Linked DNA regions of Ovis aries. The protein of the gene in region 5 purifies or fractionates together with the protein of the main gene of each other region. This does not show direct contact. Links are inferred from orthologs where the notes say so. Each region holds a gene or a part of one and is shown on either strand. Other genes may lie near its edges. The genes, in order: HDAC4, LAMP2, SEPTIN9, YAP1, HIF1A, CTNNB1 and FASN.

Region 1 (4,456 bases), on a different chromosome or scaffold from region 5:
ACAGAGCCACCTACTTCATCTCAGCCACACGAGCCCAAGAGACGAAAATGACCTCCTAACAGAACTCGCTGATCTGAGCTCGGTGACGCGTCTCCCCAAAGAAACGGCCTGTGAACACACGTTGCTGAGGCGTGTGAAGACGCAGCGTCACTTCTGACACAGGCCCGTCATCTGACTTGAACCAGAGACCCTTTGCTTTTCTCTAACTCAAGGCCAAAAGACCACAACCCACTGCACACTGCAACGTATCCCGACTGACCGTCTGAGACTCAAACCAAGCCCCCTCCAGACTGGCTCCCCAGTCCCCACCCCAGAACCAGCAAGGGCCGCAACCGCTGGGGCAGAACTTGCCCTCCGGCTAGAACAGCGGGGACAAGGGCTGAGCCTCGCAGGCCACAGAGCGAGGCGGCTTCCGCGGAGGCGGGGCTAACGCGGATCGGCAGCTGATTCCCAGCAGGGATTTCGGGTCCAGGGGCCGTCATCCCGCCACCCCAGCAGAGCCGTAGCCCGCTCTCTGCATCTCCCCTACTCCCTCCATCAGGTACCAATCTATAGCTCAGGCAGCTTCTGAGCAATGAAAGCCCAGCCGTTTTCAATAGAGAACGGTAGGGACGGATTCTCCAGAAGTGATGAAATGTTTCTTCTGCTCTGGCAATTAAGACGGCACAAAGTCGCCTTTCCTCCGGTGCCACCCCCAACATCAAAGGATGAGAATTCAAAGCCATTCATGCTGCATTGAAACCTCACAATGCAGCTGGAAAATGGAAGTCGATTACTGGACATAAATATGCAGTAGTTAAAAGCAAAGAGTTAGAACGAAATTCAACTGCAGCAACCCAAAGACGTGCGGAAACTTCCAGAACTGGAGTCCTCCTGGTAAACACGAGGGGCATCCTTAGAAAGCACGCTTCTGGCCACTGAGCCAAGCTCGGTGCTCTGGACCCACGTGGCCCAGGGGCCATGTTGTTCTGCCCATCTTGCTACAGTAACGGCCCCCAAGGCCTCCGAGAACATGGCATTTAGAGATTTTTCTTTCTCATGGCTGTGAAGCTGCTGACCACAGAACATTCTCTCTTGGCTCAGGGCTGCTGAGGCCACATCTGTCCTTGGTCCCCAGGCCCCGCGGGCCTCCGCCCCCGCACACACCCCCAGCCCAGGGCTCTCCCAGGGGCGCTCCTGCCGCCAGTTCCGATCACAGGAGAGAGAAGTAACCCTAAAGAGGGCAGTGTTACATCTGCCTGCCGCATAAACCGTGCTTCTTTTCTGATTGATTACTGCTCTCTTTAGGAAGGTATTTGATCTTTAAAATAAAAGCCCAGAACACAGAAAGCTATACAAGTCTAACAATGTGTCAGGGTGTGTGTTTTTAAGGCAGGAAAATACTTCCCTCCCACACAAATGTGAGTTCTGGGGGAGATGCCACGGAGCCCAGGGAACAGAATATCTGGGAAAGCTTGCTGGGTCTTAAAAATAGATGATTGAACACAGATTTGAGAATGCTCAGGAGCTACCTGAAAAAGAAAATTAAATCTCACATATTTTTGATATCCAAACTCCATTCTGATGAAACTTCTAAGAGGGTGGCATTTTGCATTTCCAATTATAATAGAGTAATTGTGTTGCCATAGTGACCGCAAAATTCTGCAATAACTTTTGTTGCTTTGTAACTGCTGTAGTGTATATTTGTGTACAAGCAGCTGAGTTTTCTTAATTCAATCCCTCTCCCTCCCCCTGCCTGTCCCCCTCCGCCAGTCACCACCACCACCTTCCCTGGCTCAACCCAAAGAAAATTATCAAAAGCAACTAAAACTCCAGGCCACAGACGATCACGGTACAAAAGAAAAAGTGAAACCAGGCCAAGGTGCAGACCCACCAGTATTACCCCAGTCTTGCTAGGCTGGCGCTGGGCGAGGGCTGTTTACATGTTTACTCCCAGGCCTCCCCGGCTTAGGCGGTTTGTGGGAATAAACAGAAAAGCCTGAGCGGAGGGAAGAGGGGAAGGAAAGTAACTCCACAGGCCCCTTCCCTCCCTCGCCCAGGGCAGGCAGAGAGCTGCTGCAAGCAATTAGGTAGGTCTCTACAGTAATGCAATTAGGATTTAGTTAAGAAAGTCATTAGTTTTAAAATAACTTGAGCTTAATTTCTGCAACACTTTATTTGAAAATTGTGTCACAGCAGGTCAATTTACAACATGCAATAAAGAAAACACGCGTATCAGCTGCTGCAAGTTATTACAAATTTCTGATGTGCATTAAATGAGTACACTGGGTTCCACCCCCGGCCTTTCCGACTGATACGCACGATCTCCTGCTATAACAGTGTCAAATAATTCAACGCTCAATGTAAATACGAGATAATTTGCTTCGGATGCCACGGTGGGAGCTTGCGATGCCGCCAAGCGCGGCTCCCGTCACCTGGGCAGGACGGGGCCCAGGGCTCGGCCTGCCCGCACCCCTCGGGTCGCGGGCGCCCCACCCCTGCCGTTCCGGTCCGGGGCACACACACCCGGCGACGGCGCACCCCCGCCCGCCCGCCCGCCCGCCAGCCCCGGGAGGGACGTTTTTCTGCAAACTCACAGCCTCGACAAAGTTACATAAACGGCGCCCGCCGGGGCTCGGGAGCCCCCCGGCCCACCTGCCGAGGGCTCGGCCTGGACGGGACCGGGCGCCCCGGGGAGGCCCGCCGGCCGTCCTGCGCCCCCGCCCCGCGGGCGGCCCCCGCCGGGCCGGGGGGCTGCAGCGGGGAAGGTCCGGGACGGGCTCCGGCTCCGCTCCGGACGCCCGCGGGGCCGCGCGGCCTGGGCGCGCGGGGCCGGGCCGGGGCCAGGCCGGCGGGCGGGCGGACCCCCGGCGTCCACCTGCCGGGCCGGGCGGCGGGGGCGTGGAGGCGGGCGGGCGGGCGGCCTGCGGGCGGGCGGGGGGCGGACAATGGCCCGCGGGCCGGGCCGGGGCAGCGCTTACCGCGGCGGCGGCGGCGGCGGGCGCTCCGAGCCGCATCTTCTCAGCCTGCGCCGCCACCACCACCACCACCACCGCCGGCGGCGGGCGGGCGGGCGGGAGGGAGCTCGGGCGGCGGCGACGGCGGGGACGCGGCCGCGGCGCGCCGGGCCCAGGCGGCTGAGGCGGCGGCGCGGGCGGGCGGGCGGGCGCGCGGGCTCGGGCGCGGCGGCGGCGGCGGCGGGGACGGTGCTCCGCAAGCGGCGGCCCCACAACCTCCCCTCCTCATTCACAAAAAATTGACCCACGTTGAACCATGATGCCGCTCCCCCCCTCCGGCACCGAGGCGAGCGCTGATAGGCCAGCCCCGACGCCTGTCAGCGGCCCCGGCCCCGCCCTCCCGCCGTCGGCCCTGCGGCTATTGGCTGCACCAGCCTTGCATCACCTCCCCTCGCGGGTCCCTCCCTCCCGCCCGGTTTCTAATGAAGAGCTCGTCAATTACGGCTCGGCCCCGCCCTCTGCCCGCCCTCCCCGGGCGCCCGGCGGCCCTCCCATTGGCCCACTGGGGGGGTCGCGGGAACAGCCCCGCTTGGTCCCGCCCATCGGCCCCGCGGCCTCCAACTCGCCAGGCCCAACGCCCTCCGAACGCCAGGGATGCTCCACCCCCGCCCGCCTCCTGGTCCCCATTGGCTGCCGAAGCTGCCAATCCCAGGGGCGGGGCTATCAGAGGACGCTATAGGCGCCAGCTGGTGGACGCCTGATGGTTGGGAAAGTGTTGGGAGTCCAGGCGCGTGGTGACTGTCAACACGGGCCGTGGCCCCGGAAAGCCTCGTTCGCCGCCCCCAGAGAGCTGCGCCGCGGGGCCCAGCAGTGAGGGCCGGACGGGCCGCTCTCCTGGCGAGGGGAGGCTGAGGCGCGGGCTGAAGAGGGGAGCCGGTGAGGCCCGGCCGCGGCCGCCATCTTGGGTACGGGCAGCGATCACGTGGTGCGGCCTGCTCCCGGCGACGCAGGGGCGGTGCGAAGGCCGAGTGCGCAGGCGCGGAGGGCCCCGCCCTGCCCCGCGGCGGGAACGCGGCCTTGGGGGCGCGGGGCCGGGCCGGCCGGCCTTCCCGGCGGGCGCGGGGCGAGCGCAGTGCGCCTGCGCCGGCGGAGGGCCAGGGGATGCGCGAGCGCTCTCCGAGTCTGGTCCGAGTTCCCCGGTCCCGGGCGGAGGCCGCAGAGACGGCTTCCCACCCACTTTCCGGTCGTTCCGGGCTCGCATGCACCTTGGGCGGGGGTCCGGGCCAATCCGTTCACCCCGAGTGCTCAGAGTCCGGGCTGTGCCTTGCGGAGGCCTTCAGAGACTCCCCTTGGGTCGCACCCCAGGGGGGCGTGATGGGGTCTGCGGCGAGGTCGGAGCTGTGAAGCCCACTGGGCAGCCCATCCCGAATGTCACACCTGCGTGGGGACAGCCCTGCCGGCGTAGGGAGGTGCTCCTGCGAAGGATGGAGCCTCCAGAGAAGAACACCTAGAACAGTGAC
Region 2 (4,006 bases), on a different chromosome or scaffold from region 5:
AGATGCTCAAAAACCGCTGCTCTCCAGTGCCACCCTTCCCACAAATGACAACCCATGGAGGAGTGTCTGCATCTTATGTTCAGTTCAGTCGCTCAGTCGTGTCTGACTCTTTGCGACCCCATGAATCGCAGCACGCCAGGTTTCCCTGACCATCACCAACTCCCAGAGTTCACTCAAACTCATGTCCATCGAGTCGGTGATGCCATCCAGCCATCTCATCCTCTGTCGTCCCCTTCTCCTCCTGCCCCCAATCCCTCCCAGCATCAGAGTCTTTTCCAATGAGTCAACTCTTTGCTGAGGTAGCCAAAGTATGTAAAGCTCACTTAAAGGACCTATCAGTTTTTAGCCTTAAGAACTTTGCTGCAAATGATTTTGAGATTACAAAACACACTTAATTTGAGCAAAATGATTAGCTAATACAGTCACACCACTTTCTCAGGGCTATAAGAGTCGAGAGGTGAATTCCTATTTCTCTATTCCAGGGCTTAAATTTCCACGACTCAAAAGAAAAGCCACCTAGCAGTCAACCTATGAGCATAAATTATTAATAAAACTTGCTTGATTCTTACCAGTAGAATACTTTCCTTCTGTCACACTGAAAGGCTGAACCCTTAGATCAAAGGTATTTATCTGAAGTGCTCCAGACACGGAAACGGTCTGCTCTTTGTTGCACATATAAGAACTTCCCAGGGGAGCATCCCAGTAGCTGAGATTGGTATTTGAAATGCTGTAAACTTTAAAGGAAAAAAAAAATGTTAGTAACTTCTTATCCTGTCAATATTTTTTAAAAAGGGAGGAGGGGGAAGACAATCCTGAGGAATTTTCTGTGAAATACAGGAGAGCTCAGGGTACAGGGTCTGCCCACAAAAAGCCATTCTTAAGATCACTAACTAGGTTCCCTATCTCTTTGGATGTTGCAACAGTCTAAAACCCAGTCACATTCTTTAACTATTACTTACTATGCTTTGAAAATACAAGATCTTGCAAAAGATGAAACCGGTTCTAAGTTATGGTCAAAGCCCAATTTTAACACAGAATCTTCTGTTCCATTAAATAACGCACTTGTCATTAAATTATCTTGTTATTTGGTAACAAGATAAGTATGGTTTGTATTCTTTCAGTGAAACCTATACTCCTCCCCACCTCCCAGGCCAATGTTTTGCTTACCAGAGCCATTAACCAAAATCACGCTGACATTCACCTCCTTCAGATAGAATCGGTTTTCATTTTTCTGTGTGAAAAAAAGCATCCAGTTAGTCAATGCATCACAGCTGTTTACAGACACAGTTAACATCTATGGAAGGAGAGCAATCTAATACTATTACCCAGAAGATCCAACCATGGATTAGACCTGGCCCAGGAGCACAAATTGCAAATAAGTCAAGAGACTCAAAATGTGACTGATACCCTTTTACCTCTTCATTTTTGTTTCCAGCTTTGGGACCAGAGATGATGTGCTCACCTGGTTCCCAGACACTCAGCAATTCACTCCCTCCATTCTGATCTTTCTGTCACTTTCCAAGCCCTTACCACCTCTAGCCTGGATCACAACAGCCTCTTCACAGGGCTCCCTGCCTTTCTGCCTGTCCAGCTCTGTTTTTCCTCCAATGCTATTTTCTTTCTGAAGCATTAAGCTGATCAGAGGATCCTTCCAATTACTTCACCGCTTAGTATGTACAAGGTAACACATCTAAGTGTTCCAGGGAGCCAGCAAAATGGACACATTTGGATCCTGCCCCCATTGTGTTTACAATCTGCCAGAGAAGACAAATAAAAATAAATAACCACACTACAAAAAAAGTGATAAATTATGAATAAAAGGAGAGGAATTCCAACTAGGGAAGGAGCAAAGGCAACAGAAAGTTAGGGATGGGCTCTCTGAATGGGGTAGGATTCAATTAGGAAAGAAGCACAAACAAGTATTCAAGAAGGGAAGAGCCTGAATAAAGAAGTCAGAAATAAGCATCATCGCAAGCACACTGGCATCTGAAAACTTTAAGCACTGTTCCTAAAACTTTACCCAGGAGGCTTCATGGAAGAATTACAACACCCCATTTTGAGATGGGATAACTGATCCATGGAGGGTGTTGAGCAACTTCCGCAAGGCTACAGAGTTAGCTGGGATTTGACCCCAGGGAGTCTGGCTGTGGAGCCTGAGTGCTGTTTCCTCGGCCACTCTCCTACCACACTGGATGTGCACAGGGAACAGGGTGACGGAAGCATGAGCTTCACGACAAGGGAAAGAAGGAAACATAAAGCTGGATATGCAGGTTACTTTGCACAGCGGGGAGAGGAGGCTTGAACTACCCCAGGCATGGAATTTAGATGTTTTCTTGTTGGCAAAACAGAACTACTGCAGGTTTCTGAGAAAGAGCTGAGCTTCAAGAAGATTCAGCTGATGCCGAAGTACATTAGGGGAGGGGAGGAGAAGGGGGGGGTTGTTAGGAGGTGGTCTGAAACTAGATAGGAGGTAAGTGGTAATGGAGGCCGGAATCGGTAGGGAATGAAAACAAGGGGGCAGACTAAGAGAACTTCAGGAGAAAGCACACAGAAGTCTTGACAACGCCACCCCATCTCTCCTTGGTTCACCATTCAAGGCTCTCCACAATTTGTCCCAAACACTCTTCCAAACTTATGATTCACTAAACATGTTCCATGCCTCATTTTCCACCTGGTCTTGATTGTGTTCCTTTATCCAGGGATATTCTGTACTTTTTCACTTATTCCCCTTATACTCCATATGTACACATCTGGCCCATTCTTGAATGTCCAGCTTTAATGCCATCTCTTCTGTAAAACCCTCCTGACTCTCCTCCAGCCAGAATTAATGGCTCGTTCCTCTATACTTCCATTGTTGTGTTAGGGCGCTCAGTCATGTCTGACTCTTTGTGAGCCCATGGACTGTAGCTCGCCAGATTCCTGTCCATGGAACTCTCTAAGCAAGAATATTGGAAGCAGCCATTCCCTTCTCCAAGGGACCTTCCTGATCCAGGGATCGAACCTGGGACTCTTGTGTCTCCTGCAATAGCAGGCAGATTCTTTACCACTGAATCACCTGGGAAGCCCTCCTTTACTCCCATAGCACTTTGTACTTTCCTCTGGTCTAACACTCATCCCACTTTGAATGCACCTCCTACAGCACAGTTTACTTTTCCACAGAATCAAATCCAAAAGCCAGCAGGGCATTCAAGGCCTTCCATAAAAGTGGTGGTTATCTGTACACTGTTATCTTTATCACTTGGGGACTTTCCCAGTGGCTCAGTGGTAAAGAATCTGCCTGCCGACGCAGGAGATGCAGGCTCGATTCCTGAGTCAGGAAGATCCCCTGGAGAAGGAAACAGCAACTTGCTCCAGTTCTCTTGCCTGGAAAATTCCATGGACAGAGGAGACTGGTGGGCTACAGTCCATGGGGTCACAAAAGCTGGATGCAACTGAGTGCATGCACGCACACACCTTGACCAATAGATTATGGGCATCTTAAGAACACAGGCCTTCTTCTTTGTATCCCACCATAGCATCCTGTGGTGGTGTTGCTTAGTCGCCAGTTGTGTCCAACTCTTCGCGATCCTGTGGACTGCAGCATGTCAGGCCTCCCTGTCCCTCACCACCTCCTGGAGTTCCCCAAGTTCATGTCCACTGGAATGGTGATGCCATCCAGCCATCTCATCCTCTGACACCCTCTTTTCCTTTTGCCCTCAATCTTTCCCAGCATCAGGTCTTTTCCAATGGGGGAAAAAAAGACCCACATGCCTTGTCATGGCGAGTGGCTTGCGTAACTCAAGCTACAAGCTTTGCCGTGTAAGGCCATCCAAGACAGACGGGTCATAGGAGAGTTCTGACAAAATGTGATCCACTGGAGGAGCGAATGGCAAACCACCCCAGTATACTTGCCATTAGAACCTCATGAACAGTATAAAAAGCATCCTGTATATACACTGAATTCAATTATCCTGACAAGCAACTGTCATGATAGGATTGAAGGTGAGATGGGCCCCACTGAACTCTG
Region 3 (4,006 bases), on a different chromosome or scaffold from region 5:
AGGGACCTCCCTGGTGGTCCAGTGGCTAATACTCCCTGCTCCCAATGCAGGGGCCTGGGTTCGATCCCTGGTCAAGGAACTAGTTTCCACATGCTGCAACTAACACCTGGGGCAGCCAAATAAATATATTGTGGTTTTTGTTTTTGTTTTTTAAAGAAAGAACTTAGAGCAGAAACTAGAGATATCTGTACACCCAAGTTCACAGTAGCTTTTCTCACAACAGCCAAGCAGTACTAGGACACAGGTGTCCATCAACAATGGATGGATAATCAAATTACCAATGGCATTTTCCACAGAACTAGAACAAAAAAATTCACAACTCATATGAAAACACAAAAGACGCCAAATAGCCAAAGCAGTCTTGAGAAAGAAGAATCGAGCTGGAGGAATCAATCTTCCTGACTTCAGATTACACTACAAAGCTACTGTCATCAAGACAGTATGGTACTGGCACAAAAATAGAAATATAGACCAATGGAACAGATAGAAAGCCCAGAAATAAACCCCTGCACCTATGGGTACCTTATTTTTGACAAAAGGGGCAAGAATATACAATGGGGCAAAGACAGTCTCTTCAATAAATGGTGCTGGGAAAACTGGACAGCTACATGTAAAAGAATGAAATTAGAACACTTCCTAACACCATACACACAGATAAACTCAAAATGGGTTAAAGACCTAAATGTAAGGCCAGAAACTATAAAACTCTGACAGAAAAATATAGGCAGAACACTCAATGATAAATCAAAGCAATATCCTCTATGACTCACCTCCCAGAGTAACGGAAATAAAAACAAAAGTAAACAAATAGGACCTGATTAAACTTAAAAGCTTTTGCAGCACAGCAAAGGAAACCAAGCAAGGTGAAAAGACAACCCTCAGAAAGCGAGAAAATAATAGCAAATGAAACAACTGACAAAGGATTAATTTCCGAAATATACAAGCAGCTCACACAATTCAATGTCAGAAAAACAAACAACTCAATCAAAAAGTGCGAAAAAGACCTAAACAGACATTTCTCCAAAGAAGACATACAGATGGCTAACAAACACATGAAAAGATGCTCAACATCGCTCATTATTAGAGAAATGCAAATCAAAACCACAATGAGATATCACCTCATATTGATCAGAATGACCCTCATCAAAAAGTCTACAAACAATAAATGCTGGAGAGGGTGTGGAGAAAAGGGAACACTCTTGCACTGTTGGTGGGGATGTAAATTGATACAGCCACTATGGAAGATGGTATGGAGATTCCTTAAAATACTAGGAATAAAACCACGATATGACCCAGCAATCCCACTCCTAGGCACATACCCTGATGAAACCAAAGCTGAAAGAGACACATGTATCCCACTGTTCACTGCAGCGCTATTTATAACAGCTAGAACATGGAAGCAACCTAGACGTCCATTGACTGAATGGATAAAGAAGTTTGGTACATATACACAATGGAATATTATTTAGCAACAAACAGGAACTCATTTGAGTCAATTCTGATGAAGTGGATGAACCTAGAACCTATTACACAGAGTGAACTGAGTCAGAAAGAGAAAGATAAATATCGTATTCTAACGCACATACACGGAATCTAGAACAATGGTACTGAAGAATTTATTTACAGGGCAGCAATGGAGAAACAGACATAGGGAATGTGCATGGGGAGAGGGGAGGGGAGGGTGAGATGTATAGGAAGAGTAACATGGAAACTCGCATCCCCATATGTAAAAGAGGTCACCAACAGGAATTTGCTGTATGGCTCAAGAAACTCAAACAGGGGCTCTGTATCAACCTAGAGGGGTGGGACGGGGAGGAAGCTGGGAGGGAGGTTCAAAAGGGAGGGGATATATGTATACCTTTGGCTGATTCATGTTGAGGTTTGATAGAAAACAACAAAATTCTGTAAAGCAATTATCCTTCAATTAAAAGAATTTAAAAAGGAAAAATAAGAAATAGGCTTTCAAAGGAATTTTCAAAACAATAAATATGTATCGAGGACCTACCAAAAAAAAAACAAAACCAATGGATGGCTACGCAGTGTGGTCTATGCATACAATGGAATATTATTCAGCCTTAGAAAGGGAAGGAAATTCTGATACTTGGTGCAACATGGATGAACTCTGAAGACGTGCAAAGTGAAATAAACCAGACCCAGAAGGACAAATATTCAGGATTCCACCTACAGGAAGGACCCAGAGTAGTCAAACTTATAGAGACAGAAAGTGGGAAGGTGGGCGCCAAGGGCTGGGGGTTGGGGGAAGGTAATGGGGCCGGAGATTCAGTCGGGAAGATGAAAAAGTTGTGGAGATGGTTGCACAGCAATACGATGTGTTAATATGCATGAACTGTACACTTAAACACGGCTACAATGGTCAATATTATACGTGTTTTACCACCATGAAAACAATTTTTAAAAGGTTAATCAAAAACCCATAATGTTCTGCCTGTCCAACCCAAGGGACACTTATTGAACATTTACTGAGCTCGGAGGCCCAGGATTACAACCGGACCCAGCTTCCATCAGGCTCACAGCTCAGCCGGCACCTTAACATAGCCTGTGGAGCCAAGACCCTCATTGTAGGGCAGGGGGCAGCAATGGTGTTTCATGGGACAGCATCACGTCCCCTGTGAGCTCCCTGTGAGCACAAGTCTGGGTCTGGACCCTCCAAGGACAGTAGCATGCCCTCAATCGCCCCCTAGCCAGCAGAAGAGCCCTGAACAGAGTCGTGGGCAGGAATCACGGGGCTCCCTGGCCTGGGACCCCTCCTGGCAGCCCTGAAAACCCTAGCATGCAGACATGAGGTGCTGTCATGCCCTCTTCGTGTCTGGGCACAACCCTCCCTCCTTTGGGAGGAAGACCCTCCAGGGCAGGAACCGCCCCCTCCCACCTCCCGCAGCCTCTGCCCTGGGGGCACCTGCAGGGCACATGTCACCCTTCTAGAAGCCGAGCCTGCCTCTCCAAGGCCCAGAGACCACCACCCACCAGGACTGAGAGAGCCTGTCCTGGGGTCTCACAGCCATCCCGCCCCAGCACGAGCCTGTCCCGGTTCCTGCCCCTACATCCTGGGGTCGCAGCCATGGTTACACCACGACCCTGTTGACCAATTAAAGGGGGACCCTCACAACCCAGAGATTCTTTGCAGAGTCTAACTGAAATCCAACTTGCTGCATTGTGGTCCACTATGGGACAGAAAGAGCCCCCCAGTCCCTGCCCCTGAGATTTCAGAAGTATAAGCCACCCCTCAACTCAATGTTCAGCTTCTTTCTCCAAGATTCCAAGGCAAAGCCAGCTCCCCACTCCCCAAGTCATCACAGCACAGGCGACTGGCACCTTGCTACTCACCCTCCTGGCTCTTGGGTGGGATCTCGGCCACGGGGGGCTGGGGCTTGGGATCCAGCCTGCTCTGCAGCTGAGACATCGGGGCGAGTTCTGAATTCTCCAGGGTCTGGGGTGGGATGGGGGAGGCGGGCCCCTCGGCTGGCTTGGGCACCTGGATCTCGACCCTCTTGGGGGCTGTGTCAGCAGCAGGGGCAGTGGGCACCTCGGGCATCTTAGAGGCGGGGGTCTCCATCCTCCGGTGGCCTGACTCCTGGGGCTTGACTATGGTGATCTCCGTCCTCCGGGGGGCGGGCTCCGGCGTCTTGTGGCCCAGGGCCTCGGCCCGCTTGAGCCCGAACCGGGATGGCCCGGCGGTGCCGGCGTTCTCTACCTGCTTGGACGAGATGTCGATGGAGATCTCGGTGCGCCGAGACACGGGCTCGGCCTTGGGCCCGGAGAGCTCGACCCTCCGCAGGGCGGCCTTGGGGGATCGCTGGCTCAGGGAGTCTACATGGCGGGCTGCAGGCTCTGAGTTCTTCACACCCAGGTCCTGGAATTTCTGTGTGGAGCTGGCCACCGAGGATCGGAGCAGCGGCGTCTGGACCCTCCGGGGTGGGGTGGAGTTGGGCGTCTCGACCTCCTCGACCTCAAAAGATCTTTTCAAGGCTGGAAGATAAAGCGAGGA
Region 4 (4,006 bases), on a different chromosome or scaffold from region 5:
TAAAGGCAGATGAGGAAATACTTCTTTCAAGACCACTTCATGACACCATATCCTGGCATTCTCCTTCTTCTTTTAGGGCCAACCACACCAGATTATAGTGGCAGGTTACTGACAGCTCAGTTTACAAGTATGGCGGCCTGGAGTCCTCATGGCTCAGTTTAATTCTTGGGTACCAGTTCTTCAAACCTCAAATCAGAGTTCAATCACTGTATCAAGTTCATCTATTTCCATTAACACTCAAGTGACACTATCAAAATATAACCCTCATGAAGAAAACAGTACCTTGTTCAAATGCCTACATCCTGGCAACAAAAATGTAGCCTATAATGGTATTTTTAATGCCTGTTCTTAGTATGCTATGATTTAGGGCGGGGCAGTAGTAGAGGCACTTGTATTCCATGTTTGTAAATAAAGAGAATGTCTGGGGCGGGGGTGAGGGCAAGTATAAGAACTGGTTAGCTATTTACATCCAGAAAAGAGAACTAGAGAAATGGGAAAAGGAGATTTTATTTTCACTTTGTACACTTTCAAAACCACATTGTGTTTTTATTACCCAAAATATTTATATAAAAATTTTAAAATATACTAAGATCATACCCCCAAAATCTAAACTTTAGCTTTTGTCACTCTGAAATTTGAGATGATATGGCACAGAAAAACCAGTATTTCTGAAAGAAAACTGACAGAAATGGCCCTAAAGGTTTCCAGCTCTCTAATGTTAGAATCTGCCCTTCCCAACGTGAAAAAACAACCACAAGCAGGTAATTTTAAGGCACTTGGGGATCTTCTAAACTTGGGATAGCCTGTGTTACATTTTAAATAAAACACATCTTAGATTCAGCAATAGTGAAACACAGCTGTCATTTGAGAGGTATCATACTGGTATATTATCATACTGGTATATTCTCCTAGACAAATAATTTGTTTAAAGTAAAAGATGTTTCTCCCCAAGTGATGTTCCAGAGTTTCTTCCTTAGCGAAATCTTCAGATATTAAATAGTCTGCAATTCCCTGTACAGACATACCTCGTTTTATTGCACTTCACAGACACTGCATTTTTTTTTTTAAAAACACATCAAACGTTTGTGGCAACCCTGCGACTAGCAAGTCTATCAGAGCCATTTTTCTAAAAGCAATTGCTCACTTCACGCCTTGGTGTCATATTTTGGTAATTCTCACAATATTTTGGCCTTTTTCATTATTATTTTATTTATAACAGTGATCTGTGATGTTACAGCAAAAAGATGACTCACTGGAAGCTCAGATGATGGCTAGCATTTTTTCAGCAGTTAAGTACTTTTAAAAAATGTTCACTGTTAAGACATAACGCTGTTACACACTTAAGACTATAGTATGGTATAAACATTAACGTCTATATGCACCAGCAAACCCCCGAATTCATGTGATTCACTTTCCTGTAATACTCGCTTTCCTGTGGTGGTCTGGGACTGATGGGCAATATCTCCGAGGTATGCCTGTATATTTGAGGAAAAGCACCCTTGCTTCCTTTGCCTTCTGCTTGACTGCAGTGAACATGGCCCAAACGCCTCTGTGTGACACAGGTTTACAAGTGACAGCCCACGTGCTCAGAGGCCAGCAGAGAAACTAAGACAGGGACAGAGCTGGACAGAGTGTTTCTGTGTCACTCTAGTTTTGGAGAAACAACATTCCTCTGTAACCAACAAATGCCAAAATGAAACACACCCAGCTTCACGTAGGAAAACAAAGCCCCAAGAGTGGAAGGCTGGTCTCTAACCTGGGGCCTCACCTGCCGAAGCAGTTCTTGCTGCTTCAGTCGCAGTCTTTCTTTCTCCATCTGCAACTGCTGCAGCCGCATCTGTTGCTGCTGGTTGGAACTGCCACCACCCAGGACTCCTCCCTGTGGGCTCTGGGGGGCCAGCGGGGGTGGCTGTTTCACTGGAGCACTTTGACTGATTCTCTGGTTCATGGCTGCAAGGAAACAGAAGATCTGTTCTAAAAAACTAGCCAAGAAAAAGGATTTTTTGTTATTCACAAGCATGATGGGGACATTCAACATAGCCTCTTCTGTAGTAAGATCAGAAATAACCTAAAAACCCACCAATAGTACAAAGGGTACATCAGTTTCTTATTATTACAGACATCCTTGTCATTAGTGTAGTATGCGGCCTTAAGATGAAAGAAACAAGCAGCAGCTCTAACAGGCAATGGCGCGGAGAAGTCTAAGGCACACAAAGGTAAAGGCACAGTACAGAACAGGACAGGCAGAGGAGGGCTGTACTGATATATTACATGCATATCCAGAGAATCTCAATCGAAGGACAGATAAGAAGCAATCAACACCTGCTGGCTCTGTAGCTGGGGAACTGGGTGACTAAAGAACTGACGTTCAAGAGAGACATTTTTTGTAACTTTTCAAGTTTGAATAATGTGAATGCACCGCTTATTATAAAATATATATCCAATTAAAAATAAATCCCTCAAACTAACTAAGAGAAAGCAATCTAAGCAGTAAAGTTCATTATTAATCTTTAAATACAATGCTAACTAACAAATCAAGTAGGTTAGATGCATGCTCCAAATAAAGCCTACATCTGGACGGCACAGATTGGTCTCATTCAACACCACTGTACCCCCCACACAGCCAAGGTAGTCAGTTACTTTTTGAGTTGAACCTGTAATACACCATTTGACAATTAGATTGGATTCTTATAATAGTGAATTTCTGTCACTGATAAAACACTGATCAAACTATGGATTGTGTTAGCCTCAGTAAGCAGATGCAAGTTTTATTACGTGAAAATGGCAATAAGAATGATACATTACCTTTTCAGACATCTATTCAACTTTTTAAGGTGACATTTCAGGTCACTGTTTAATACATATGACACTTGAAGAAATGACACTAATCTTTTACAACCTTTTGCAGAGAACAGCAAAGAAGGAAACTTCACGCTTTTGTGACCAGCATATCCCTAATACCTTACGAAGACACTAAAACAAAGAAAAATCATAGATGGCTCTCTCTCATCAACCTTGCTACCAAAATCTGAAATGATTCACTGGTGGTGCTCATGACTTACTAGACCCTGGCCACAAAGCAAACTCCTTGTGATGATCTTCACATGTCCTCGGCTGGACCACAGGTACAGCTCTTGGAGGCCACCTGAACAAACCTCTTCCAGGGCACTGCCTTGGGACTCTGTCTACTGACATTTCTCACCTGTCATTTTTTATTTACAAATTTATATCTTCTCTTCCCAGGTGGCACCAGTGGTAAAGAACCCTCCTGTCAATGCAGGAGACCTAAGAGACATGGGTTCAGTCCCTGGGTCAGGAAGATGCCCTGGAGGAGGGAATGGCAACCCACTCCAGTGTTCTTGTCTGGAGAATCCCGTGGACAGAAGCCTGGCGGGCTACAGCCCACAGGGTCGCAAGCAGCTGGACACGACTGAAGCGACTGAGCACACACATCTTCTCTCAAACACGTGCCTCAGGAGCGGGGACAGAATCCCAACCGCACATATATTCTTAGTGCCTAGACCAGCAACTTGGCATAAAATCTGTGTGGGGAAACAACACTGAAATGATTCTAAGCCCTTTCATTATGCACTGAGGCAGAAATTTAACTTTTTAAAAGATATGGCAATACAGAAATCCTACCAATTTCCCCATAGACTACCAACTCTTCTATGTGGCAGTATAACATTGATTTGAAACCAAGGATATTAGAAAAAAGGAAAATTACAGACCAATCTTCTCCGAGAATGCCTTAGTTCAATTCAACCTACTGAGATATTAATATAAAGTCACAACATTTTTGTTTTTACTTTCCCCCTCTATTGTTCCTGTATTTCTTCTAACTTTTAAAAACTTTGGCCATGGCAGATGGCATGGGGGATCTTAGTTCAATGCCCTGACCAGAGATTGAACCCACGCCTCTTGCTTTGGAAGCAGGGGGTCATAGCCACTGGACTGCCAGGGCTCTTTTCCCAACTTCTTCAGTTGAACTCACTTAGTCAAGTCT
Region 5 (4,006 bases):
TCCTCAATACTGAGCAAAATTTTTTCTACATTGGTTCTTAATGGGTATAGCTGTGAGAAGTTCTAGAAGGCAAATTTTTCCAAAATTTTTCCCATGTTGGTTCTTAACGGGTATAACTGTGAGAAGTTCTAGAAGGAGTAACCAGAAAACATCTATCTCCTGGTCAGACTCAAAATCTTACTTGGTTGGTCTCTAAGCAGGCTGCTTTTAGCTCTCTATCACAACCATTTGGATAACTTTCTGATATAATCAGAAGGACAATGTCACTCCCTTTCATTATAATTCTAACTCCATCACTTTCCTTTCTTCCCAACCCACCCCTATACTTTATATACTGAGTTCAAAAACGTAAAAATAGTTCCTAAAGAAGGATTGGCATATCTGTTCTATCATGCATTGATATAAATACTGGCACCAAACACGATAAAATATCTCTTGGCATTTCTGTCTTTGTTTCTTCAAGTTAACCCCAGTGGTAAAGCAGTCACTATGTGCACTAGGCTCTCAACAAACTCTCATAATCCTTACCACAGCCTTTTGAAGCATGGCCCTTATTTAACAGATAAGGAAGATGAGATTTAGAACAGCTAAGTTCTAACACCCAGGCCACACTATAAGTACCAGGACCACAAGCCAAGATTGAATCAAGAATGATGTGATTCCAAAGCCAGTGCTTTCTCACTTTTCCCGTCCAGTAGGATAGGGCTTAAGATCAATTTTCTCGTATAACGTTCAATTTTAAAATAATACAAATACATGTATTATACTGTGACAAACTGATGCTCAAAGCAAAGTAGAAATGTGTCTAAGATCATCTGGATATAGGCAGCAAAGTCAGCATTTAGTAGTCTGGTTACAAAACCTATGCCTTCAGCCAGTATGTTACAGTTTTACAGTAAAAAATGGGACAAGCAAGCAAATAATTTCAAAACAGAAAAAAAGGCTATGACAGACCACATATAAGGAACAGTAGCTTTTTAAAGAAACAAGGAAAGCTCTACAAGTAGATGCGGTGAGTGACTCTTAGAAGCTAAGTTTGTGTTTGGAGTTAAGAAAACTATCACTGTACTAAGACAACAAAATAGCATGTGGAGTTCTCTGGAAGTAGGGTATTAAGGGCCACATCAGAAGGGTCTTCCCATCCTCCTGATTAATTTGGGAAAATCAGGAATGTCCGTGGTGGTCCAATGGTAAAGAATTCACCATCCAAAGCAGGGGACATGGGTTTGATCCCTGGTCACATCCCACATGCCACAGGGTAACTGAGCCTGCACACCACAACGAGAGAAGGCCGTGCACCACAACAAAGGCCTAGCACGGTCAAAAATAAAATCTCAACAACAACAACAACAAAAAAAATGGGGTAGAAGTCACCAGGGGCCAGATCATAAATATCTTTCCTTGCCATGCTAAGAAGTTTAGATTTATTAAAGAGGTCTATTTTTCTTTCAGATTTTCAAAATGCATGTCTTCTTTTGATAAATAAAAATCTCCCACCCTTCTAATATTTTTTATAAACAAAAGTTTGTGTGTGAAGATGAAGGGAAGCAATGAGGCATTTTTACAAGACATGATCTGATTTTCACATTAGGAAGTTCACTTCTTGGAAACCTGGATGAGACTAAAAGGGCACAAATCTGTTGGCAGAGATGCAGTTAGGAGACTTTAATGGCAACAGTTCAAGCCAAAGGTAATAATGAGCTGAAGAACTCAACGGCACGAAAGCAAGTGGAAGGAGGGAATGGAGGAGACACACATAGTAAATCTATTAAGATTTTGAAACAGAATGTAGATCAGTGAGCAAAAGAAAAGTTAAGGATGACTTTCCAATTTTTGCTGGAGTTATATGTGTTCACTGGTATATTAATCATGATAGGTACTGTAAGAGGAAAAACTTGTTTCTGAAGTTGTTTTGGGATAGGAGTGGTTCAATCAGGTATGGAAATATTTAGTTTATAATACAGAAGAATATGTATCTAGATAAAAATATCAAATTGGCAATTAAATGGAAATAGATATGGATAGAAATCTGCAAAACAGCACCATCAGCAAGGATAAAGCTGCTCAGGAAAAATACGTAGGATGAAGAGACAACCAAAGGCTTTCCTTTCTAGTCCACAACCAGAAGTAATCCTTCCTCAAATTATGTATTGTATGTCTCTGAAATATATTTTTTTCTTTAAATAAATTAGAACACCTAAAGGAAAAAAAAAACCTCATCTTAATAATCACTGGATAGCACCTGCTACAGTAAGTACACAGTAAATGTTCAATAAATGTGGTTGAATTAATCTGTAAAGTTAATCTTACTATATTCTAGGATGTATAATTGTACTCAATTTAAGTGGAAGGAAGCCTGCACACCACAGCTAGAGAACTAGATTTATTAAAGAGGTCTATTTTTCTTTCAGCTTTCAGTCTTTACTGTAGTCAACAGTTAAAACAATTCTGTGGACTAATTAAAAATTTCAAGTTATATTTTATTTCACTTACCTTTCATCACAATAAGAAAATTTCATATCCAGACTGTGACGACTGAGAAAAGTCTTGCTGTCTAAAGGAATTTCAATATTTGATGGATGAGGAATGGGTTCACAAATCAGCACCAAGCATGTCATCGGTGGTTTCTTATACCCACACTGAGATTGGTTACTGTTGGTATCGTATACATGAATATGGCCTGTGCAGTGAAGTACCTGAGTATGAAGAAAAACAAAACAGTTTTTTAAAAAACTTATGCTAGTAAAAAACAAAATGCAGAGACAGTTGAGTCTAACATGGCAAGTAAGCTTTGATAAAATTTACTATCATTAGTAGATCACTATATTTTTGAAAATCAGTGTTTTCTCTACACTACCACCCATGACCTACTCTTCAGGTACCATAAGATTAGTCTTTGAAAAAATTTCCCTTCGTACAAATCTGAGCTTGTTTTTATCTGGCCACTATACCTGTTTGATGGTTATTTCTTGCTCTGATGACGATGTTTCAAAACTGAGCAAAGAAATGATACAACAATGAATAAAATATTAATGTTAGCAAGATTCAAACACTGGGTGGCTGGCAAAGCTGAATGTCCACATAACTTAAGTTCATGCCTCTTAACTGATGAATTACTAAACTTTTTGGATATCAAATCTATAAACACAAAGGAACAATAAGTTTTCCCTCACAGTTCTAATGTTGTCTTACTACTAGTAATGTGAAGATGCATTAATTTATCTAGGAATCAGCTGTAGTCACAGATAATTTTTATACTTACTTTCCATGTTGCAGATTTTATGTTCATAGTTCTCCCCCGGCTAGTTAGGGTACACTTCATTCTGAGAAAAAAGCTCCGCTGTGTATTTTGCTCTTTACCCTTTTTTACAAGGCCTAATGAAAACATGAAATAAAGTTTAAAAACATAATTAAATATACAAATGTGTTACAGAAGAAGTAGCACAGTGCCCAGTACCTAGGTGCTATTCAATGGAAAGTCTCAATATGAGAACAATGCTTCACACCTGCTTTGCTCACTCCAATATATCCAAGGGATTTAACACACTTGTAGTAAGTAACGGGTTCACAATAGCAGTGATTCCCTGAGATGGTGCGATGAGAATAACACTTAATCATTTCACATTCAAGCCAATAGAGTTGGTCAGATTACAAAGAAATATAAACACAGTATGAATTTGCTCCCTAACTGTGTTATCAGTGTATAAAGCACACCTCCCCCACCCCCGCCAAAAAAGAACTTAAGCAAACTCCTCCAAATGTGTTAGCTCAACTTATAACAAACATTCTGTATATTTATAGAACTTTTCAAATATAAAATTTCTTTTTAATACCAAATAACATCTTTATATATCTGATTTTTCTAAAATTTTCCTGTAAAGCAAGGAGGAAATTGCAAAGAGGAAATCTCTACTTTGTTACTAGGGGAAAAAAACATATTGAATGACTTTTCAAAGCAAAGTTAGAATTAAACAACCTGAAGTGTGTTTACTCCCATTCTAAGCCT
Region 6 (4,666 bases), on a different chromosome or scaffold from region 5:
AGACACAAATGAGAAAGTCATTGTAGACAATGGGTCTCACTGAACATCATTTGAGTCTGTGGACTTTTTCCACTGCAGGGGCCCACTACAGCTATGGTGCTAGCCAGCAGTTAACATTATCACTGGTATATAATAAAATATAATTAAGATAGGGGGAAAATTGAATTTTTAAAGAACATGTTGGCCCTGAAGCATTAGCTATACCTAAAACTGCACAAGCTACTCCACAATTGAATGAGAGGGTTTCCTGCCGTACCTATGTATAAAGACCTATTGTTTGCATGCATTAATTACAAAGATAAAAGCCTCAAGATAACTTTCACTGTTGCTTTTTGTACTCTCTCCATTGTTTTGGAGGAAAAATAAGCATCCAACAATAGACTAGAGAAAGTGAATCGATCATAATTGTTTCAGCTTTGACAAACACCAAACCTGCTGATTACAATGGAGACATTTCCAAGGGAAAACAAGACCCAACTTCAGCCTATTCAAACGAATTAAAAAATTTTTTTGAAGAATAGAAAATGAGTTTTAAAAAATTAGAAGCTGCTTAATGGATAGCTCTTTCCATGAACAACGAACTTGGATTTCTCAAAGAAGTAATACCCTAGAAATAAACTTAGAATGAAAGAAAAATCCACCACCACCCCCAATATACTGATACTTAGTAGCAAAGTGGAACCAGTTAAAAATGGAAACTGTAAGAATTAACCTAATTGGCAGGGCTGTGGAGCTAGTCCATGTCTATCAGTCATTTGTTCAGTTAGGGACTCCTAAGGACTTGTTGAATTGCGGGCTAGGCGCCTATCCTAACGAGAGTTCGCAGCCTTCACGAGCGGGGAAAGCCGGCGGCTCGGCCGGGTGCTTCATTCCCAGATTCAAGATGAACAGCCGGTAGGGATGCGAGATCCACGACCTGGACCGTGGGGGGCTCTGAGGTGATGTGCGGCTTGGCTGCGAGCCAAGTCCTGCAGAGAGCTTGGGGCCCAGACTGCAACGGCAGCGGAAGCACGAACGCGCCGGGGTCCCCTGACCGGGAGCAGGGCGGCGGCGGCGTCCGGCAGAGTCCAGAGCGGGTGGGCCCAGACCTCAGCTCCGGCATTGCCGCCGCCACCTCGGCCCTGAACTTTCACCCCCCAGGGACGTGTGCCGCCTGCCCCGCAGGGCCGGGGTCCCGATGCCGCCTCCCGCCGGTAGCCGGCAGCGCGCAGCCAGCCTCGCATCTGTTCTCATGGCCCGGGGCATGCGCGAGGCCGGGGCGTCGGGCTCGGGACAGTGGAGAATACCGGTGTCGCCCTCCCTCCAGCCCACCCCGGCTCGCGGAGACCCGCGCCTCCCTGACTCGGACTACCGCGCCCTGGCGGGCCGCCCTCCAGTCCCGCGCGGCGGGGCAGCGCCGGCCTCAACCTGGGAGAGCGCCCGCAGAGCGCGCGGGCGCCCCGCCCCTGCCCCGGGCTGGCGGACCGCGGCGGCGGCGGCGGCGGCGGCGGGCGGCTCCGCGGCGCGGGGACTACTTTCCGCCGCCCGCCCGCGCCCCGCCCCTTGTCCCCGCGCGGCGGAACGCTCCGCGCTGCGCCGCTGGCGGCAGGATACAGTGAATCCTGCGCGACTTATAAGAGCTCCTTGTGCGGCGCCATTTTAAGCCTCTCGGTCTGTGGCAGCCGCGCTAGCCCGGCCCCGGGAGCGAAGAGAGAGGGGAGGCGGAGACGGAGCAAGGTCCGAGGAGCAGCTCCGGTCCCCGTCGAGCCGCCAACGCAGGCCGAGGACGGTCGGACTCCCGCTGCGGGAGGAGCCTGTTCCCCTGAGGTGCTTGGGCGCTCCTTTCCTTACCCGTCTGGGGCTGCTCCCCTTCCCGCTTCGGAGCCAAACTTCGTCGCGGGCGCGCGGTCCCGGCGGCGGCTGGGAGCCGGACCCGGCGCAGCCCGAGGCCCCGGGGTGGGGAGCGGGGAGGGGCGTGTGGGCTGGGGGCGCCGGGGAGGCGGCAGAGGCGGACCGCGCCCGGGGGGCTGAGGGCGGCGGCCGGGCCCGGTTCCGGTCGCGCGGCTCCTTCGGGAGCCCCGGGGGTGCCGCTTTCGGGGAGGGGGCGCCGCGAGGGCGCGTCCGGGAGGTCGGGTGGCCAGCGGGGTGGGCGGGTGGGTGGAGGGGGCTGTGGTTTCCGTCCCGGGCTCAGGCCGCGGCTGAGTTTGGGGGAGGGACCCTGCGCCTCGGGATGCGCCGGGGCCGGGGTGGGGGGCGGGGTGGGGACGGGGGACTCCGCCTTCCCGGCCTCCGCGGGGAGTTGGGGTGCGGGCGCTGGGCCTGGGACGCCACGTGAGGTCCTATCTTTCGTGCTTAAGGACGAATTTTTTCGAGGGTTAATAAGAGGTTAGTGATTTTTAATGGCCTGCCGGTGTGAGTACGCTCGTTTAAATCGGAGCAACTTTAAACCTTAGAGGATCCAAACTGTTAGTGCAGACGGTGTGATGCGCCAGGAGGATTTGCACAGATAAAAATCCCTATCTTGCACCTACATTTTTTTGTACGGTGCAGGTGAGTGAAAGCGGGCGTGCTAGGGAGGTCCTGGGAAAAATAAGGGCGAGGGCGTCTGGCTTACTGTCTCTTAGCAAGTGACCCACAGGACTCAGATTGCGACTGCTTCGAGAATTGTGTGTTCCTGGAGATTCTTTATTCAAATAGTTTCACGGCAACTAAACTTGATTTTGAGAGCGCTTTCCAGCGGGGTGAATTTTCCCCTCGCTACGAAATGGCCCGCAGGAAATTCAAGCTTTGCAACTTCGTTCCGTGTTTTGTCTGGAGAGAGGACTTGGAACTGAGACTTTCAAAGTTCGCTTTTCACAGCCTCCTTCTGAGTCTACTAAACTTGAAAGCTTTGCCAGTCGGGTGTAGTTGTTTGCTTCGTTTTCTTTTCGGTGGTGGAGGGAGCATTGTCTCCTACTTTGTATCTTCCAGACATCTGTGGTCTCCCCCCACCCCCACTCCGGGTTTGTGAGTGGTGAATGAAGGGAGACTGGTCTGCTGGTATGCAGAGGTCGGCAAAAGGAAATCGAGGAGTGGTTTTAGTGAAACGAGAGCTTTGTGTCGTGAATAGTGGTGGCTTAGACTAGACAGCAGCTTGAAGAGACGGCTCGCCTTTGATAAAGTCTGGGCTGCTGTTTTTCAGATGGCTAAGTTGTAAGTATTTTGTCTGGAACTTGGGAAGCCGTTTCATTCTGTCTCTTGGTGTACATTCAGTACCTTCGGCTATCTTCCTGTTAACGTGTTTCCTTAAGAGATACTGGACATAGCTTGACTCTTTTGTTTGTTAATGTTTCTGTTTAATATCTGCTTAGATTAGTGACAAACTTGTTTGGGAGGCATTTTTTTCGGTCTGAACTAAGGCGGCTGCTACATTTATTTTATTTTTACATTCAAGCGCACGAACCTCTTGAGTTTAAAAAAAGGTGCCATTAATGTTTGCGAATATCTTTTCACGAAATTTGATTAATTTGCGTCCAGTATTCATTACTTTGACCTAGTCTTTGTTCTGAAGGCCATGTACAAGGCCCTAAAGTGATTGCAACAGTAACTTGAAAAACTTCCAGGAGCCTATTCTATAGGATTAAAGGAATGCTGAGGCTATTCAAGTCTGAAGTCCTTGAGGGGGAAATTAAAAAACTGTGCTACAAAGTTTAGTATAGCATGTAACTTAGAGTCCTTGAGGAGTTCTAGGCTTGAGATTTTCCCAGAAGCTAGAGCAGCCATTTAAAATTGCTTTCAAGAAAAACCAAATTTTAAAAGGTGACTTAAAAAAAGTAAAACATTTAGTAGTGTTCAAGTGTCAGTGTCCAGCATTTTTCTTTCGAAACATATCCTTTACCAAGATAATCGTGTAGATGATTATGTAGATTCCAATATTAAAACTGAAATCAGATTGAGCTTCTTACTGTTGCTAATGATAAATGGAATAAAATTATCCATATAAATGAAGTTGTATATTTTTCTTTTCATACACACTTCCCTCCTCCACTCCCCAAATAGGAAGAGAAAACTTGAAGTAGGCTGATTTCTCTAAGAGTGTTTTGAGATTTGGTTCTTGGGAAAGCTATATGCACACAGCCTGTTTCATTGTTGGAAGGAGTGGAAGGAAGAGCATAAGTATTGTTGAAACTAGGGACGTGGAGAATTCAAAAATTTGAATCTCACTCTTTTATACTTTAGCAGTGAAATTAAAATCCCAGAGATAGGTTGTTTGTAGTATCTTTAGCCAAATGAAACTTTTGTGTTACTGAAATGAAACAATACAGCATCCAGTTATAATGAGATTTTGTTTCTCTTTTATGGTTTACTAGTTGCTGATAATAACTGCAGAGGAGTAGGTGGTAAATTTTAAGTATGTACTTTGAGCTTGGTTGGAAGCATGCTTGATTGCCAGCCCAGGGCAGAAAGGATGAATACTTTTAGAGCAGGACAAACTTGTAATAAAAAGTATAACAGCTCTTTCGTGCTGCATGTTGACTTGTGACTTTGGTTGTGAAAACACTAGTTGTATTGACTTAGTTGTATTTTGTATTCTTGTAGCTCTCTTTTTGTTGGGAATAGAGTATCTTTTGTTGAAACAGTTTGAGTAAAAGCATTTTTATATCTTAAAAGTAAGTAGTAAAACAGACTAGTAGCTACTTCTGGTTAC
Region 7 (4,714 bases), on a different chromosome or scaffold from region 5:
CTCCCCACCCCGTTGGCCCCAGCCCGGGACTCCGCTCCCTCCTCAGTACCGTCCATTTTGGATGTTTTGTTATGAATACACGATGCTTTTTAGAAGCAAAAAGGGAGGTTTTCAAGAAGGGCAGCAGGAAACTCAGGGACAGGTGCTCTGCAGCCCCCCAGATGGCCCACCTGCATCCACAATGGCCTCGTAGGTGACCTCCAGCAGCAAGCGGAGCTGGGGGTCCATATTGTGCGCCTGCTTGGGGTGGACACCGAAGAAGGAAGCGTCAAACCGGGACAGGTCCTTCAGCTTGCCTGACCGCCGAGGCAGGCCATATAGTCCTAGGGAACACACACAGGTGGAGAAATCAGTCATAGGACATCATGGCCCCGAGTGATTGATTGCGGGGGAGTCCCTGCTGCAACAGAGAGCTGAAGCTCCCTGGGATGGGTGGGCCCACTTCTGAGAGGGGCCCTGGGGCAGGGGGAACCTCATGGGTGATGGCCCCAGAGCAGAGCACTGTAGGGGGCAGCGCTGCCTCCTCCCACCTCCCGCTGTCCTGACCTGGCTGGAGACCTTCTGCCTGGCCCCATCCCAGCCTGGCAGCTAAGGCCAGCCAGGCTCTGCCACACTGACTCACACCCTGTAGATCAGGTGGAGCCACTCTGCGGGAGAACCTACTGGGCGTGAGGGAGTCAAACCAGCTTCCCGGGGGAGCCTGATGTCTTATCTGACCGCCTGGGACAGCACGTGGGCGGGCAGTGGCTGGCCGGAGGTGTTCACCCACCTGGCCTTGCCCTGGCTCCACCCCCAAGCAATGCTCCTGGTCTGTGAAAGGGACAAAGGCTATGCCCAGGGAACTCCAGACTCCCACAGTACCTAGCCCACTGGCCAGAGGTCCCAGGTTCCCCTAGCCCAGAGCCTTCTGGTACCGTCTCCAGAAAGAGGCTATAACATGGCCTCACCTTAGGTGACCGTTGGCTCTGCCACTGGGACCAGAGTGCCGGCCAAAACAGGCCTGCCTGGTAACCCGGGAGAGTGCGTCCACAGAAGCGGTGAGAAAAGAACCTCTCAAGTAGGCGGGGAGCCCCAGGCCCACTTACCCGCCTTCCACCGCCTGTCATCATCTGTCACCATGTCCACGCCGCCAATGAGATTGGCCCAAAACTCCTCCAGGTTCTCCGACTCGGGCAGCTTCCCGGACATGCCAGCGATCACCACCTCCTCCATGGCTGCTCTCTCTGCAAGGAGGGTGGCGTGGGGGCCCGGACACTGGTCAGCCTGCGCCCGGGCACTGCCAGTCCACAGCCTCGCTGGAGACCCAGCTGCTTCCCAACCCTGGCTTCCTGATCCCCCTCCTCCATCTGGCCCACCCAAGGGTCTGAGAACAGCAGCTCAGAAAGCCCTGCAACAAAGATCCACATGGCCGGCTCTGGGGCTGTGCCCCTGCTGGGACGCTGTGTGTGCACGTGTGTGAAGTGCATGTATGGTGGTTGGGAAAGGGGAGTCCACTCTGGTCCAGCCTGCTGACACCGCGCACTGGGCTCTCTGGGCACTGGCCTTGGCCTGGGGTGACCCCACCACTGCCCTGCTGCAGGAGACTCAGGAGGGGCCCCATAGTGGAAGGCAGGGCCCAAACCCTTCTGAGGAAAGGACTGCCTGGCTGCCATCCTGTTAAGAGGTGGCCCAGGGAATTTAGTAGGCGAAGGAGAAAGGGCAAATATGGGGGTGGGAAGAAGTGCCCACACTGACTAGTTGGTTCTGCGCTCAGCATCCTGAGCTGCCCTCCAGGCAGGAACCACAGCTTGGGCTCAACAGTGCCAAGACCTGGAGGGGCTCTGGGGAAAAATTGGTCCCTGTCTCACAGTGGGCAGCCCCAGCCTGTATGGCCCCTCCAGCAGGCTCCAACCTGGAGAACCACTCTCGGTCAGCTGCCAGGCAAGCACTACCCAGACCCACACATCTGCACAGGTCGAGGCCTCAGGGCCGCGCTTGCCTACTTCCTGATCCAGCAGCCTGCCTGTCCACCCAGACCCAGGTCTCCCAGCACCAACGAGGGAACTTAGTCTACCCTGAGCCTGTGGGCCCAGGGCTCCTGTGCAGTCCCTGAGGAAGGGGGCAAGGCCAAGGTTGGTCCTGCAAACTTCCACCAAGGCTCCAGGGCCTTATGGCGCCGATTTAGGGTTTCTCTGAGCATGGGAAAGTAGGAGTGGAGAGCGTCTTCCTTGGGTGGCCTGATCGCCCTGGCGTCCCGGCAGAGGGAGCCCCCTCCCCCAGCGCTGAATAAAGAGCCCTTTGCCGGCCCAGAAGCACCAGCTCCCGGGGCGGCTGCTTCTCCAGAAAGCGCCCGCTCTGTTCTCCCCCTACTTGCTATTCACGCGGAGTCCGGCAGGACGAAGCAAAAGGGTGGAGACCCCTGCGGCGCTGGCGAAACCGCGCGCGCCGCCGCGAGGTTGTACCCGCCAGGAGTGGCTCTCCCCCCGGAACTTTGGGGGCTCCAAACGGAGCCCACGTGGTGGAGAAGCCGTCCTTATACGGCCCTGCGCCTCCTCCATCCACGTCCTTCCCCTCTTCTCAGGCCCTCCGGTCGGCCGAGACGGCTATCCTGCACCCGAAGGCAGCGGGATGCCGCGGGTGGAGGGGCTCGGCGGCCAAGCCGGAAAAGGAGGCCCTCCAGGGCGTGGCGGCTGGGGGCTCCAACAGGCCCTCGAGGGTCTGCAGCCTCCCGGCCCAGCCCAAGACCAAAATGGCTGTTCGCGGCGTTCCCGGGCGTCCGCCCCTCGCCATCTGCCCACCTGCCCCGCCGGGCTTAGGCACGGCGCGAGGGCCCTTCGCCGCCTAGCCTCGGGGGTCTCGTGGGACTCGAACATACAGACCGGAGGCTCGGACCCCGAGACCAGGGCAGGCTGTGCGAGATGAGCCCTCACCATCAGCGCGCCGGACCATGCGCACCCAAGGCCAGAGGATGCGGGCCGGCGGCGCCCCCTCGAGCCCGGCCGCCTTGCTCCCGCCCCAGCCCCTGATCCAGTCTGGCCCCAGGACCGGGTTCCCAACTCACAACTTCCAACCCCGGCCCGGCCTGGCCGCTTGTACCTGGTATGGGCGCGGGCGGCTCTGCGAACGGCTGAAGGAGAGCGAGGATGGAGCGCGCGGTGGTGGGGAGGCCGCTACTGTCTCTCTGGCTCCCTCTAGGCCCGCGCCGGCGCTATTTAACCGCGGCCATCCCCGTGCGGACACGCCACATGGGCTGACAGCTTGGCTGCGCCGCCCAGGCCAATGAGCGTCGGGGCTGCGCCCCGGGACCAGGCGCGCCGCCGCCAGTGGGGTGATGCGGCGCGCCGCCGCCGGGAGCCGGGACCCTGCGCGGGGGCGCGCCCGGGTGGCGCCGGGTTGGGGGCCCCGGACTCGGGGGGCTCCGGGGCGGGGCACGGTGTCACCCCCGCCCCCCAACTTCCGTTCCGTGCTCCACGCCTCCCGGGGCCGCCCCCACCCCCGGGACCGCGGGGGCCACGTGTGCACGGCGCGCGGTGGAAACGGAACGGGCGTACTTCGGTCACTCTGAGGGTCATACTAGGGCAACACGGGGGGCTAGACGGACCCCCAGGCGTACGAATTGACCAGCCCGCGTCCGGGCTGCGTGGGGCCGGGCCGGGGGCGTGGCTCTCTCTGCAGCCACAGCCAATTGGGGGCCGGGGGCGTGCGCGCTGGCCCAATGGCGCCCCTCGAGTGGGCGTTGCTAGGTGATAGGGTGATGGGCCGGGCTGCCCCAGGAGCTGCGCGGGCCGCAACGGAGCGAGCGCGGTCATTGACCCGGCCGAGGGTGCCCTGTGCGGGGTTACTGTCGGTCACTGCAGCACAGCGCCTCCGGTCCTCCCTGCCTCGCCGCCGAAATTCGCGGGGCGAGTGCGGGAACGCGGGGGAAGCTCCGAGGCCTGCAGGGGCCTTCCGCAGATGGCCGTGGGGACGGGGCGCGGCCATCTGGCGAGCGGGCTATGCACGGACACCTCTTGGTGTGGTCTGAACAAAGGAGTCTCCCTGGGCAGAGGCACTCGCGCGCGCACGTGGCCACTTTCACCCACCGGCACGCACACGAACCAATGGAAGTGCGTTCTCTCCTCGCCCGCACACCCTCCTTCTGTAATTCCCGTGCTCAAACGTTTATCGATTTTATACACACACACACACAAATCCTTGACTTTCCAGACTGAAAACAAACAAGACAACACGGATCGGGAATCACGAGCCCGGGAAGGACGGCCTGGTGGCCACGCCCTGCACGGTCCTTACTATCTCCTGGGACCACTGATAGACCCTTGTGAGGTCAGAAAAGCCCTGGCAGAGGTGCCTGGCCGATTTCTCTTGTAATCAAACGCTGCTGCTCTCCTCCCCTGTCTCGGAAACTGAAGACTGTGGAGCATGGCACTGGCCACAGATGTTCTGGGCAGGACAGAAGGGGACTGCCCCGCCAAACCAGGTAACTTGGATTCAGGTGCCCCTCCCTCAAACCCTACAGTGCTCCAGTGGCAGCTCATCCCTCCTCCTCTTGTCTTCCTCTTGGCGTCATCACTGGGGACTTCTGGTTTGCACTTTTGGTTTGAAAGAAAGAGCAACCCGAAAAAAAAAAAAAAGAAAGAGCAAGACAGGAAAAAAGGAGAGAGGGCAGGGATATCCCGCAGCTCAATTGCTGTCCCAAATAACTTTGTGGGATTTTCTTTTCCTTCCTACTTAAGAG

What was found.
Region 1: the proteins of HIF1A (region 5) and HDAC4 purify together in Homo sapiens (affinity purification with western blotting; 4 studies listed by BioGRID and IntAct, with this or other methods). This does not show direct contact. The link is inferred for Ovis aries from reciprocal best matches to the Homo sapiens genes HIF1A and HDAC4.
Region 2: the proteins of HIF1A (region 5) and LAMP2 purify together in Homo sapiens (affinity purification with western blotting; 3 studies listed by BioGRID). This does not show direct contact. The link is inferred for Ovis aries from reciprocal best matches to the Homo sapiens genes HIF1A and LAMP2.
Region 3: the proteins of HIF1A (region 5) and SEPTIN9 purify together in Homo sapiens (affinity purification with western blotting; 4 studies listed by BioGRID and IntAct, with this or other methods). This does not show direct contact. The link is inferred for Ovis aries from reciprocal best matches to the Homo sapiens genes HIF1A and SEPTIN9.
Region 4: the proteins of HIF1A (region 5) and YAP1 purify together in Homo sapiens (affinity purification with western blotting; 3 studies listed by BioGRID and IntAct, with this or other methods). This does not show direct contact. The link is inferred for Ovis aries from reciprocal best matches to the Homo sapiens genes HIF1A and YAP1.
Region 6: the proteins of HIF1A (region 5) and CTNNB1 purify together in Homo sapiens (affinity purification with western blotting; 7 studies listed by BioGRID and IntAct, with this or other methods). This does not show direct contact. The link is inferred for Ovis aries from reciprocal best matches to the Homo sapiens genes HIF1A and CTNNB1.
Region 7: the proteins of HIF1A (region 5) and FASN purify together in Homo sapiens (affinity purification with western blotting; 3 studies listed by BioGRID and IntAct, with this or other methods). This does not show direct contact. The link is inferred for Ovis aries from reciprocal best matches to the Homo sapiens genes HIF1A and FASN.

The regions. Positions count from the first base shown.
Region 1 is NC_056054.1:2,119,518-2,123,973, reverse strand, and holds the start of HDAC4 (histone deacetylase 4), read right to left. Parts: upstream 3,124-4,456; 5' UTR 2,961-3,123; intron 1-2,960. UniProt on the Homo sapiens protein: Responsible for the deacetylation of lysine residues on the N-terminal part of the core histones (H2A, H2B, H3 and H4).
Region 2 is NC_056080.1:104,773,953-104,777,958, forward strand, and holds part of LAMP2 (lysosome-associated membrane glycoprotein 2), read right to left. Parts: intron 1,232-4,006; coding exon 1,168-1,231; intron 735-1,167; coding exon 570-734; intron 1-569. UniProt on the Homo sapiens protein: Lysosomal membrane glycoprotein which plays an important role in lysosome biogenesis, lysosomal pH regulation and autophagy.
Region 3 is NC_056064.1:53,911,961-53,915,966, forward strand, and holds part of SEPTIN9 (septin-9), read right to left. Parts: intron 3,988-4,006; coding exon 3,346-3,987; intron 1-3,345.
Region 4 is NC_056068.1:6,217,480-6,221,485, forward strand, and holds part of YAP1 (transcriptional coactivator YAP1), read right to left. Parts: intron 1,951-4,006; coding exon 1,757-1,950; intron 1-1,756. UniProt on the Homo sapiens protein: Transcriptional regulator with dual roles as a coactivator and corepressor. Critical downstream regulatory target in the Hippo signaling pathway, crucial for organ size control and tumor suppression by restricting proliferation and promoting apoptosis.
Region 5 is NC_056060.1:71,938,104-71,942,109, reverse strand, and holds part of HIF1A (hypoxia-inducible factor 1-alpha), read right to left. Parts: intron 3,376-4,006; coding exon 3,263-3,375; intron 2,697-3,262; coding exon 2,494-2,696; intron 1-2,493.
Region 6 is NC_056072.1:13,821,240-13,825,905, forward strand, and holds the start of CTNNB1 (catenin beta-1), read left to right. Parts: upstream 1-1,640; 5' UTR 1,641-1,806; intron 1,807-2,274; exon of another isoform or gene 2,275-2,364; intron 2,365-4,666. UniProt on the Homo sapiens protein: Key downstream component of the canonical Wnt signaling pathway.
Region 7 is NC_056064.1:50,275,871-50,280,584, reverse strand, and holds the start of FASN (fatty acid synthase), read right to left. Parts: upstream 3,167-4,714; 5' UTR 3,076-3,166; intron 1,224-3,075; 5' UTR 1,213-1,223; coding exon 1,086-1,212; intron 324-1,085; coding exon 171-323; intron 1-170. UniProt on the Homo sapiens protein: Fatty acid synthetase is a multifunctional enzyme that catalyzes the de novo biosynthesis of long-chain saturated fatty acids starting from acetyl-CoA and malonyl-CoA in the presence of NADPH.